Linked DNA regions of Callithrix jacchus. The protein of the gene in region 3 purifies or fractionates together with the protein of the main gene of each other region. This does not show direct contact. Links are inferred from orthologs where the notes say so. Each region holds a gene or a part of one and is shown on either strand. Other genes may lie near its edges.

Region 1 (3,650 bases), on a different chromosome or scaffold from region 3:
AAGTTTATATTATCAAGTCATTTAGCAGACCTAAAAATACTTTGCTCTAGCTAAAACTTTTATAAATTTCCATGATGAGAGCAAGAAGAATGGATCAAAAGTATGATCTTTTTCTACAAATTTTTATCAGTAGGGTCTCTGAAGGAAGTTAATGGTATTTAATTAATAAATGCCATTCTATTATTTAATATTTTGTCAATCAGATTCATACACATACACATACAAAGAACAAATGATAAGAAGCCAACAAGCCAAAATGCATCTTAACCAAAAACAATTTTCTTACCCAGATTTTGCTTTTTCTTCCTCGGCTTCTACCTTTATGTTGAGGGATTCATCTACCCTAGTTGTGTCATCATCTTTGTCGTCCACATTTTCATTTTCTTCTGGTTTTTTAATGTTAACTTCTTTTTCCTGATCAGAATGTGTAGATTCTAATAAATTCTTTTTACTTCCCTAGAAAAAGATCAGAGGAAAGAAACCAACAAAAGTAAAAGTTTTCAACCTACATCCATGATTTCTCTCTTAGCAACAGGAGGTATCAACTAATGTTAATATTGAAAGTTGTAAACTACTTTTAAGAAACCTCTGCTATTTTTAAAGCACTAGACAAAAATAGCTAACAGCAATTTTGAAGTTATAAAAATTATATAAAATTGGCACTTAATAAAGAAAATAAACAAACAATGAAGAATAATATTATACAGTATATTGATTTTAGAACTTTATAGAGGATGTAAAAAATATACCAAAGAAGGCAAAGGGCAATTAACAATATCTAATTTACCAGAGAGGGCTTAATATTTTCCTTTCTTTCAATTTCATCCTCAGTAGGTTTTTCTTCTTTTGGTAGTGTATTTCTCTCCTCCTCAGTCTTTATGTCTTCGGTCTCTGTTCCATTTTCTTCCTTCACTTTTACATTTTCACACTCCTTACACTGCTTGTTAACGACTTTGTCTGGCAATGCCATCTGAAACGCAATGTTAGCTGATCTACAGTACTCCTCAAAACCGTATAAATATCTGGAACATGAAGAGAAATTACATTTGATGAAAACATTTCAAAATATAACTATAGAATTATTTTTAATGTGTATTCATTTCTTTTGTCTAAACTCTTAGATATTGAGCCACATTAACATTCTAATTTATTCCAGTTCTTTCTTTTTTTTGAGATGGAGTTTCGCTCTTGTTACCCAGGCTGGAGTGCAATGGCGCAATCTCGGCTCACCGCAACCTCCGCCTCCTGGGTTCAGGCAATTCTCCTGCCTCAGCCTCCTGAGTAGCTGGGATTACAGGCACGCGCCACTATGCCCAGCTAATTTTTCGTATTTTTAGTAGACACGGGGTTTCACCATGTTGACCAGGCTGGCCTCGATCTGTTGACCTTGTGATTCACCTGCCTCGGCCTCCCAAAGTGCTGGGATTACAGGCTTGAGCCACCGCGCCCAGCCTATCCCAGTTCTTTCTAATCTTTTCAATGCAAATAAAATATTTTGTAAAAAAAAAATCATTTAAAAAACTGTGCTCAGACTCTTAACAATAACCGATATTAAAAGTATTAGCAAGGCCGGGCACAGCGGCTCAAGCCTGTAATCCCAGCACTTTGGGAGGCCGAGGCAGGTGGATCATGAGGTCAACAGATCGAGACCATCCTGGTCAACATGGTGAAACCCCGTCTCTACTAAAAATACAAAAAATTAGCTGGGCATGGTGGCGCGTGCCTATAATCCCAGCTACTCAGGAGGCTGAGGCAGGAGAATTGCCTGAACCCAGGAGGCGGAGATTGCAGTGAGCCGAGATCATGCCATTGCACTCCAGCCTGGGTAACAAGAGCGAAACTCCATCTCAAAAAAAAAAAAAAAGTATTAGCAATAACATCTATTTGTTGCACATTTCTTATGTGTGAGGCTGGACCCCTTAGTAAATCTCATTTGGTCATTATGGTAATCCTGGGGCAAGCAGCAGCATCCCCTTGCCATCCCGCTTTTTTTAAAGACAGTCTTACTCTGTTGCCCAGGCTGAAGTGCAGTGGTGTGATCTCAGCACACTGCAACCTCCGCCTCCTGAGTTCAAGCAATTATCCTGCCCCAGTGTCTCCTGAGTAGCTGGGACTACAGGCATGAGCCGCTATGCCTGGCTAATTTTTGTATTATTAGTGGAAACAGGGTTTTGCCATGTTGGCCAGGCTGGTCTCAAACTCCTGACCTCAAGTTATACTCCTGCCTAGACCTCCCAAAGTGCTAGAATTACAGGTGTGAGCCACCATGCTCAGCCAAGCATCCCATTTTACAAATGAAGAAACAGGCTTAGGAGAATAAATAACTGGCCCAAGGGCATAAACAGCTAACTGGCAGAACTAGGATTCAAATGTAGATTTACTTGACTTTAGAATATTAGCTTTTTAACCTCTGTGCAGTACTTGACAAATGTACTTAGCCATAAAAACTTTCTTCACAGAATTTCTCATATATCTAGTATTCATAGAATATATTCTAGAAAATGCTATGACAGAATGACTAGTAAAATTTTCTGATATCTTTGAAGAATTAATTAGCCTCAGTTATAAAGTAACTTTCCTCCTGCTTTCTAGGTTAAAAAAAACTGAAGATAATCATATCAGTTCCACGAACTTACTTTTTATAAGCACATTTAACATTGTACCCTGCAGCTGAATTTAAGACAGGGATTCCAAGGTCTTGGTAGACTTGTTTCCAAACAGCTCCACTTTCAATCTAATGGACAAAGTGAAACAAAATTCCCAAATTAAAAGGTGTTAATATAATAACATTTTGATAGACACAGTATATATGAGTATTTTTTTAATTTATTGGTCCTAGTCTCAAAAGAATTTTTTTTAAATCCTGATAAATTCTAAATTTGGTTTACAAGTAAGGGTTTTAGTACTCTGACAAATATCACAGAATTACAAATATTGAAATATTAGGCCATTTGACTTTTTTGGCGGGGAGGGGAACTGGATTCCATTCTATTGCCTAGGCTAGAGTGCAGCAACAGTGGTACAAACAGAGCTCACTGCAGCCCCTAACTTTTGGGCTCAAGGGATCCTGCTGCATCAACATCCCAAGTAGCTGGGACAGTAGGCATACACCAACTCACCTGGCTAATTAAAAACCTTTTTTTTGTAGAGATGGAGTCTCACCATGCTGCCCAGGAAGGTCTCAAACTCCTGGGCTGCAGGAATCCTCTGACCTCAGTCTCCCAAAGTGCTAAGATTACAGGCATAACTGGCCCCATTTGACTTTTAAATAAACCCAGTTATAGAAAATACAAAAAATATTCAGGCTCTTAATTAAAAAAAAAAAAAAAAAAATGAAGACAAGCATTTTTAAAGGATTTATTATTTCTCATAAAATATATAATCTAACAAATGAAAGCAGTTCTACAGAAATTTGTATTTTATTCCACAGAACATTCTCAATTGGATATGTACTGTATATCGTTGTCAATCTTATTTCTTCAGATCAGTTCAACAAACATTTCCTGGCTTAATCCCTTTATATTCTTAAAGGATAATAGCCTTTATATTCTTTTTTTTTTTTTTTTTTTTTTTCTTGAGACGGAGTTTCACTCGTTACCCAGGCTGGAGTGCAATGGCGCGATCTCGGCTCACTGCAACCTCCACCTCCT
Region 2 (3,650 bases), on a different chromosome or scaffold from region 3:
CTGCCGGGCGGGCAGGAAGGCGGCAATCTTGGGCCGGTTCTCCACGGACGGCAGGCGCTGCCGCTTGGCCAGTTCCTTGGTGGTGGGGAGGTGGACGCCCTCTCTCTTCTTGGGTCGGCTCTTGGCCCCGGCCTGAGCCTTGGGCTGCAGAGGCTGTGCGGGCTGTGGCGGGGGCGCCTGGGGCTGGGGCGCGGGTGTCTTTTTGCCCGGAGAGTGGGCTGAGGGCCGTGCCTTGCTGGCCTGCTTGGTGGCCTTGGTGGGGAGCGCTGGCTGTGCAGAGGGACCAGCCGTGGCGGCGGGGGCCGCCTCATCATCTGAGCTGCAGGAAGAGTCCTCATCTGTGGTGGAGGAAGAGGAAGAGGAGGAGGACGAGGACGAGGACGAGGACGAGGACGAGGAAGAGGAGGACGACGACGAAGAAGAGGAGGAAGATGAAGATGAGGAAGAAGACGAGGAAGAGGAAGAGGAGGAGGAAGAGGAGGAGGAGGAGGAGGAGGAGGAAGATGAGGAGGAGGAGGAGGAGGAGGCCGGTGAGGCTGCCCTGGAGCTGGCAGCGCTGCAGTTGCGGCCCCCAGCGCCGCAGCCCCCGTCCCCGTTCTTGTCGCCTTCCTCCTCCCCTTCTGTCTCGGACCCGCTGCTGCTGCTGCTGCCACTGCTGCTGCTGCTGCTGCTCTCCGATTCTTCGGCCCCATCCTGCTCAGCCTGGGCCTTGTCCGGGCTCTTGGGGTTCCCAGAGTCCTCAAATGTGAGCCCTGGCCCAGGGTCCTGGGCGAGGTCCCCATCCACGGCCTTGGGCCAGGGCACCTTGGACTCGCTGCTGCTGGCTGTTGGAGGGTAGCTGCCTAGGCTCAGGAGGCTCTTGGGCTCCTGCCAGCCCCCAGCCCCTGGGTCCTCCCGCAGTAGCAGGGCCTCTTTAGCCTTCTTGCTTTTGGGTGACGTGACGCCCTCGTGGTCCAGTTTGACAAGTAGCTCAGCCTCCTCCCCTGGCCTCCGAGGGCCCTTGATGCCTGACTCCTCAGCTGCCCGTGCCTTCTTGGGCTTGGGGCGTGTGGCAGGCATGGTGATGAGAGGTGCTGGGGCCAGGGCGGTGGCAGGGGCTGGCAGCTCCCCAAAGGGCTCGGGTGCTGGGCAGCTGGTGAAGGCAGGTGGTGCAGGGCTGGACTGCGGGGGTGCCGGGCGCGCCTTGGGGGCCTTAGCTCGCTTGTCCACAGGCTCTGGGGGGCTCTTCTTGGAACCTGGGGTGCTGCTTGGCTCCAGGGCCAAGGGGGTATTGGGGACCTCATCTGCTGTGCTCCCCTCCTCCAGGGTAGCGGCTCTGTCTGCAAAAACAAAAGAAAACAGATGAAAGGCTGGGGTGGGGGCTTCCTCGCAGATGAGCTGTGGCTTTCATCAGAAAAGGCCTGCTTTCATGGGATGCTTTTTTTTTCTTGAGATGGTGTCTCAGTCACCCAAGCTGGAGTGCAGTGGCATGATCATGGCTCACTGTAGCCTTAACCTCCCTGGGCTGATGTGATCCTCCTGCCTCAGTCTCCAAAGTAACCTGAAGTCACAAGCATGTGCCACTATGCCTGGCTAACTTTTGTATTATCATTTTTTTTTTGTAGAGACATAGTTTTGCTATGTTGCCCAGGCTGGTATTGAACTCCTAGGCTCAAGTGATCCCCGTGCCTGGGCCTCCTACAGTGCTGAGATTATAGGTGTGGGCAGAAAGGCCTGGCTGAAACCGCGCCTGGCAGAAAGGCCTGGTTTCCATCCTGGGCTACTTCTTAAGACTGCCTGCCTGCTGTCTCTGTAAGAACTCTGGGCCGGGCATGGTGGCTCATGCCTGTAATCCCGGCACTTTGGGAGGCGCCAAGGTAGGTGGATCACCTGAGGTCAGGAGTTCAAGACCAGTCTGGCCAACATGGGGAAACCCCTATACCTGGCTGCGGCCCTCTTGGACCTCCTTGGGCGGCTCCCCTATATCAACCTTAAGTTATACTGGCCCCAAAGAGGGTCCTCTAGTAGCCTCTGCTTTCAGCTTGCATGAAGCATTTTCTCTGGACTCTGGAAAGAAACATAGGCCACTGCAGCTCAGCTCTGCCTCTGACAGATCAACCTGCTTCCCTCAGCCTCAGTTCCTCATTTGCCACCTGGTCAGAACAGCCCCGCAGTGCAGAGGTTTTTATTTTTTGGAGACAGACTTTCTCTCTTGGTGCCCAGGCTGGAGCACAATGGCGTGATGGCCTACTGCAACCTCTGCCTCCTGGGTTTAAGCGCTTCCGCCTCCACCTCCCATGTGGCTGGGACTACAGGCACCTGCCACCACACCTGGCTAATTTTTGTATTTTTAGTAGTCACGGGGTTTCCCCATGTTGGCCAGACTGGTCTTGAACTCCTGACGTCAGGTGATCCACCTACCTTGGCCTCCCAAAGTGCTGGGATTACAGGCATGAGCCACCATGCCCGGCCCAGAGTTCTTACAGAGACAGCAGGCAGGCACTTGGGCAGGTCCCCAAGCCCTGAGTTTGGATACCCAAAGGAGCCCCGCCCCCACCCCTGCCCTGGGGCCCAGGCCAACGTACCACCCTTGGCCTTGGCGCTAGGTTTCCGCCCACGCCCACGGGCCTTCGCTCCTGGCTCCTCCGACCCTGCTGTACCCCCGTCTTTGCCCTCCCCGGTGTCTTTGCTGGTCTTCCGGCTGCGGCGCTTGGCACTCGGCACCAGGAGTGCCGGGGACGGCTCAGCACCTGCGGGACAGAGGAGAGAGTGGCTCATCAGGCCTGGCTTCCCCAGCTTGGAGCGTCCAAGACCCTAGCCAGTCCCGGGGATCAGGGATGGGTCGGAAGCAACCGATGCCAGGTGGTTCACCCCCGGCAGGCTCCCGCCACAGGCTGTGAGGTCCAGCAGGGGAAGCCCCATCTATAGCAAGTAGCCAGAGGCTCCCGAATGAATGAAGTAAAATAAAACAGTTTGTGGAACTGGGATAGGCAGATACAGATGCTTTTTTTTTTTAGATGGAGTTTTGCTCTTGTTGCCCAGGCTGGAGTGCAATGGTGCAATCTCAGCTCACTGCAACCTCCACCTCCCGGGTTCAAGCGATTCTCCTGCCTCAGCCTCCCGAGTAGCTGGGATTACAGGCGTGCACCACCACACCCAGCTAATTTTATATATTTAGTAAAGTTTCTCCGTGTTAGTCAGGCTGATCTTGAACTCCCGACCTCATGTGATCCACCCGCCCTGGCCTCTCAAAGTGCTGGGATTACAGGTGTGAGCCACCATGCCTGGCCTGTTTGTTTTCTAGAGATTGAGTTTCAGTCACCCAAGCTGGAGCACGGTGGTGCGATCACAGCTCACTGCAGCTTTGAACTCTTGGGTTCAAGCGATCCCCCCACCTCAGCCTCCCAAGCAGCTGGGACTACAGGCATGCACCACCATGCCCAGCTAATTTTTCTATTTTTCATAGAGACAGGGGTTCACCATGTTGGCCAGGCTGGTCTTGAACTCCTGACCTCAGGTGATCCACCCACCTCAGCCTCCAGGCGTGAGCCACCACGCCCGGCCAATAACATTTTTTGATCAGCTTCCCATGGTCTGGGCCTATGGGCCTGTGCTGTCCTCATGCGCCCAGGACTCAGGAACTGGGAGCCCTGGGATCTCATGGGAGTTCC
Region 3 (3,650 bases):
GCTCTGCATCTAATGAACTGCCTTTATTCCTTATTAAATCAGCATCTTGTTTTCCCTTTATAGGTACAAAGTCATTATGCTTTGGCTGCTTTCGAGATTTTTCTCTTGGTTTAGTTTTTAGAGGTTTAATTGTGATGTGTTTTAGCGTGGATTTCTTTGAGTTTATCCTGTTTGGGCTTTGGTCAGGTTTTTGAATCTTAAGTTTATGTCTCGCCAAATTTGACAAGTTTTCAGCCACTATATTTGAGTACTTTTTCACCTCTCTTCCTTTTTTCCTCTCCCTCCAGGACTGCAATGGCATGAATGATGTTTGTCTGATTAAGCTCCACAGGTTTCTCATGCTCTGTTCATTTGTTCTGTGTTGTTCGTATTGGGTAATTTCTATTCTTCTAGTTCACTGTTTTCTCTCTCCCCTCCATGTTGCTCAGCCCATCCACTGTGGTTTTTATTTTCTTTATTGTATTTTATTCAGTTATAAATTTTCCATTTATTTTTTCCTTATGGTTTGCTGTTTTATTTTTACTTAGGCTTCCTAGTTCTTTCTTTTTTTTTTCCTGAGACAGAGTCTTGCTCTGTCACCCAGGCTGGAGATATAGTGGCACGATCTCGGCTCACTGAAACCTCTGCCTCCTGGGTTCAATCGATTCTCCTGTCTCAGCCTCTTGAGTAGCTGGGATTATGGGCACGTGCCACCATCCCCAGCTAATTTTTGTACTTTTTTAGTAGTGATGGGATTTCACCATGTTGGCCAGGCTGGTCTCAAACTCCTGACCTCAGGTGATCCACCCACCTTGGCCTCCCAAAGTGCTGGGATTACAGGCATGAGCCCCTGTGCCCGGCTGAGGCTTCCTATTTCTTTGCCAAGGGTATGGTTTCATTTATTTCAGACATGTTCATAGTTGCTCACTGAAGCATTTTTGTCATGCCCGCTTTAAAATCTTGGTCAGATAATTCTGGTATCTTTGTCATCTTAGTGTTGGCCTTTTCATTTAATTTGAGATCTTCCTTATTATTTAACTTATGTGATTTTTTTATTGAAACCTGGACATTTTCAGATTATGTTGTGATTCTTTGAGTCTTATTTAAACCTTCTATTTTAACTGGCTTTTTTGACACCCCTCAGAACAGGGAAAGAGGGAGGGACACTACCACCCTGTTACCACCAGGTGTTAGAATTGGAGTTTCTCTCTCAACCTCCATTGACATATCTGAAGTTGGTGGGAGAGGGAGGCTCCTTGTTACTACTAGGTATCAGGAGAATTCAGTCTCCCACATGGTGAGGGTGGCCTTGTACTTAGTGGGCCATAAGGAAAGGCCTGACTTCACTAGGCTTCCTCTAGAGGAAGGTGTTGGGGTGCTTCATAAGTCTTGTGAGGGTGGAAATGTAGGCTCTTCACCTCAGCCTCTGCTGGGGTTAGGAAAGGTGCCCATAGTTTTTTCTGTGGGTTTGGCTGAAACAGAAAGGTTATTGTCTAGAAGCGTTTTCTGTCTGGCTAGGCTACCCTTTCCTAGTTCTTTGCTAGAGAGATCAGGCTTTAACTGGGGTTTTGTATTTTTATGTTGTTGTTGTTGTTGTAATTTTGGTTGTCTGTATCCATTGGCATTTCTGGGTGGCTGCTGCTTCACTGCCAAAGCTGGGGATTATGAGACAAAAGGAAAATCCGGAAAAACTAAGGAACCTACCACCATGGCTTACCTTGGGTCTTGAGCTCCCTAGGTGGTCATTAACTTTTGGAGCCTGAGGTTTATTTTATATAAAATATTCGGGGATTTTAGTTGTATAAGCAGGAGGAATAGGAAAAAGTATGTCTATTCCATCTTTTCACTTTGTTTTAAAAACACTTCAGTCTGAATATCTTCAAATACCAGTAGTGCATAGAAAATGAATTATTTTTTACTTTGTCTCTTTTTTTACCAACTCATTCACAGTGTCTTATGTTGAGGTTTGGATGCAATTACATATAGTGAAATTGAGAATTTTATTTTTTCTTTTAATCTTTATTGCAGATTCTGATGCTCACAGTACCACCTCAAGTGCCTCCCCAGCTCAATCTCCTTGTTACAGTAACCAGTCAGATGACGGCTCAGACACAGAGATGGCTTCTGGTTCTAACAGAACACCAGTTTTTTCCTTTTTAGATCTCACATACTGGAAAAGGTAAAAGAAACAGAAAACATCTCTCTAAAGCAAACCATCTTAATTATAGGCAGTATTTTTCTACTTCCTTAGCAATTAAATGGCATTTGGCAAACAGCTGGTAATACAGATGATTGCAGTGGATTAAGCAGGAATTGAGCAGAGAAGTGGGATTTTGTATGTTCTTCCTATTAAAATTATTAAAATAAAAATCACATCAAGGTACCTACTTTTTCTATTCTTAGATAAATGGAGTAGAAAGACAATATGCAGTGGAGAGAATCAGTAAAACTGAGAGTTGGTCCTTCAAAAAAAAAACATGACCAGAAAAGTACTAGAGATAAAGTGGATCAGGAAAAGGAAATGGTACACATAAGCAATTTTAAGAAAGAGAAAAGAAACTTAGATATAAATAAAGCAGAAATTTAAAAATAATAGGATATTATAGACAACTTTATGCCAATAAATTTGAACATACGGGCGAAGGGGGTATAGTACTAGAAAAAACACATCTTGCAAAGTTGTCTCAAGAAAAAGTGAAAAACTGAGATAATCTCATAATAAATTGATTTAGGCCAGTTGTGATTATACCTGTAATCCTAGCATTTTGGGAGGCCAAGGTGAGGGGGTTGCTTGAGCCTAGGAGGTTAGGGTTGCAGTAAGCTATTGTTGTACCACTGCACTCCAGCCTAGGTGACAAAGCAAGACTCTATCTTAAAAAAAAAAAAAAAAGAAAAAGGAAAGTTGATTGAGTGGTCAGAACTCTCTTCCCTTGAAGAAATACCAGGCCACAATAGGCAAGTTGTACTAAACGTCCAGGAACAGATGATTGGGGCCCATGCAGGGCCCATGCACTTGCTTTTTCAGAGTACAGGTAAAATAGGGCATAGGCCCCAGGCATTTTTAAGGCTGATATAAGTTTGATATCAAAACAATATATCATCAGCCACTAGTTTTATTCTAGGGATGTAAGATTGGTTTGAACATGAGAAGATCAACGAACATAATTTACCACATTGACAGTTTCTTTCTTTCTTGTTCTTTTTTTTTTTTTTTTTTTTTTTTGAGATGGAGTTTTGCTTTTGTTGCCCAAGCTGGAGTGCAATGGTGCTATCTTAGCTCACTGCAACCTTCACCTCCCTGGTTCAAGTGATTCTTCTGCCTCAGCCTCCTGAGTAGCTGGGATTACAGGCGTGTGCCACCATGCTTAGCTAAATTTTTGTATTTTTAGTAGAGACGGGGTTTCATTATGTTAGCCAGGCTGGTCTCGAACTCCTGACCTCAGGTATCCACCTGCCTTGGCCTCCCAAAGTGCTGGATTACAGGTGTGAGCCACCACGCCTAGCCCACACTGATAGTTTCTAAAGGAAGGTGTTGACATTTTAGTGGCACAGGGAAGGAGTTTGACAAATTTGAACATCCCTTTAATGTTTAAAACGAAACTTTCTTTTGAGACTAAGTCTCACTCTGTTGCCCAGGCTGGAGTGCAGTGGTGCGATCTTGGCTCACTGCA

The links.
Region 1: the proteins of SINHCAF (region 3) and ARID4B purify together in Homo sapiens (affinity purification with mass spectrometry; 3 studies listed by BioGRID and IntAct, counting the BioPlex papers as one, with this or other methods). This does not show direct contact. The link is inferred for Callithrix jacchus from reciprocal best matches to the Homo sapiens genes SINHCAF and ARID4B.
Region 2: the proteins of SINHCAF (region 3) and TNRC18 purify together in Homo sapiens (affinity purification with mass spectrometry; 3 studies listed by BioGRID and IntAct, counting the BioPlex papers as one, with this or other methods). This does not show direct contact. The link is inferred for Callithrix jacchus from reciprocal best matches to the Homo sapiens genes SINHCAF and TNRC18.

The regions. Positions count from the first base shown.
Region 1 is NC_133520.1:50,011,176-50,014,825, reverse strand, and holds part of ARID4B (AT-rich interactive domain-containing protein 4B), read right to left. Parts: intron 2,735-3,650; coding exon 2,637-2,734; intron 1,023-2,636; coding exon 788-1,022; intron 457-787; coding exon 287-456; intron 1-286. UniProt on the Homo sapiens protein: Acts as a transcriptional repressor. May function in the assembly and/or enzymatic activity of the Sin3A corepressor complex or in mediating interactions between the complex and other regulatory complexes.
Region 2 is NC_133503.1:17,199,799-17,203,448, reverse strand, and holds part of TNRC18 (trinucleotide repeat-containing gene 18 protein), read right to left. Parts: intron 2,730-3,650; coding exon 2,565-2,729; intron 1,320-2,564; coding exon 1-1,319.
Region 3 is NC_133510.1:40,189,325-40,192,974, forward strand, and holds part of SINHCAF (SIN3-HDAC complex-associated factor), read left to right. Parts: intron 1-2,007; coding exon 2,008-2,158; intron 2,159-3,650. UniProt on the Homo sapiens protein: Subunit of the Sin3 deacetylase complex (Sin3/HDAC), this subunit is important for the repression of genes encoding components of the TGF-beta signaling pathway.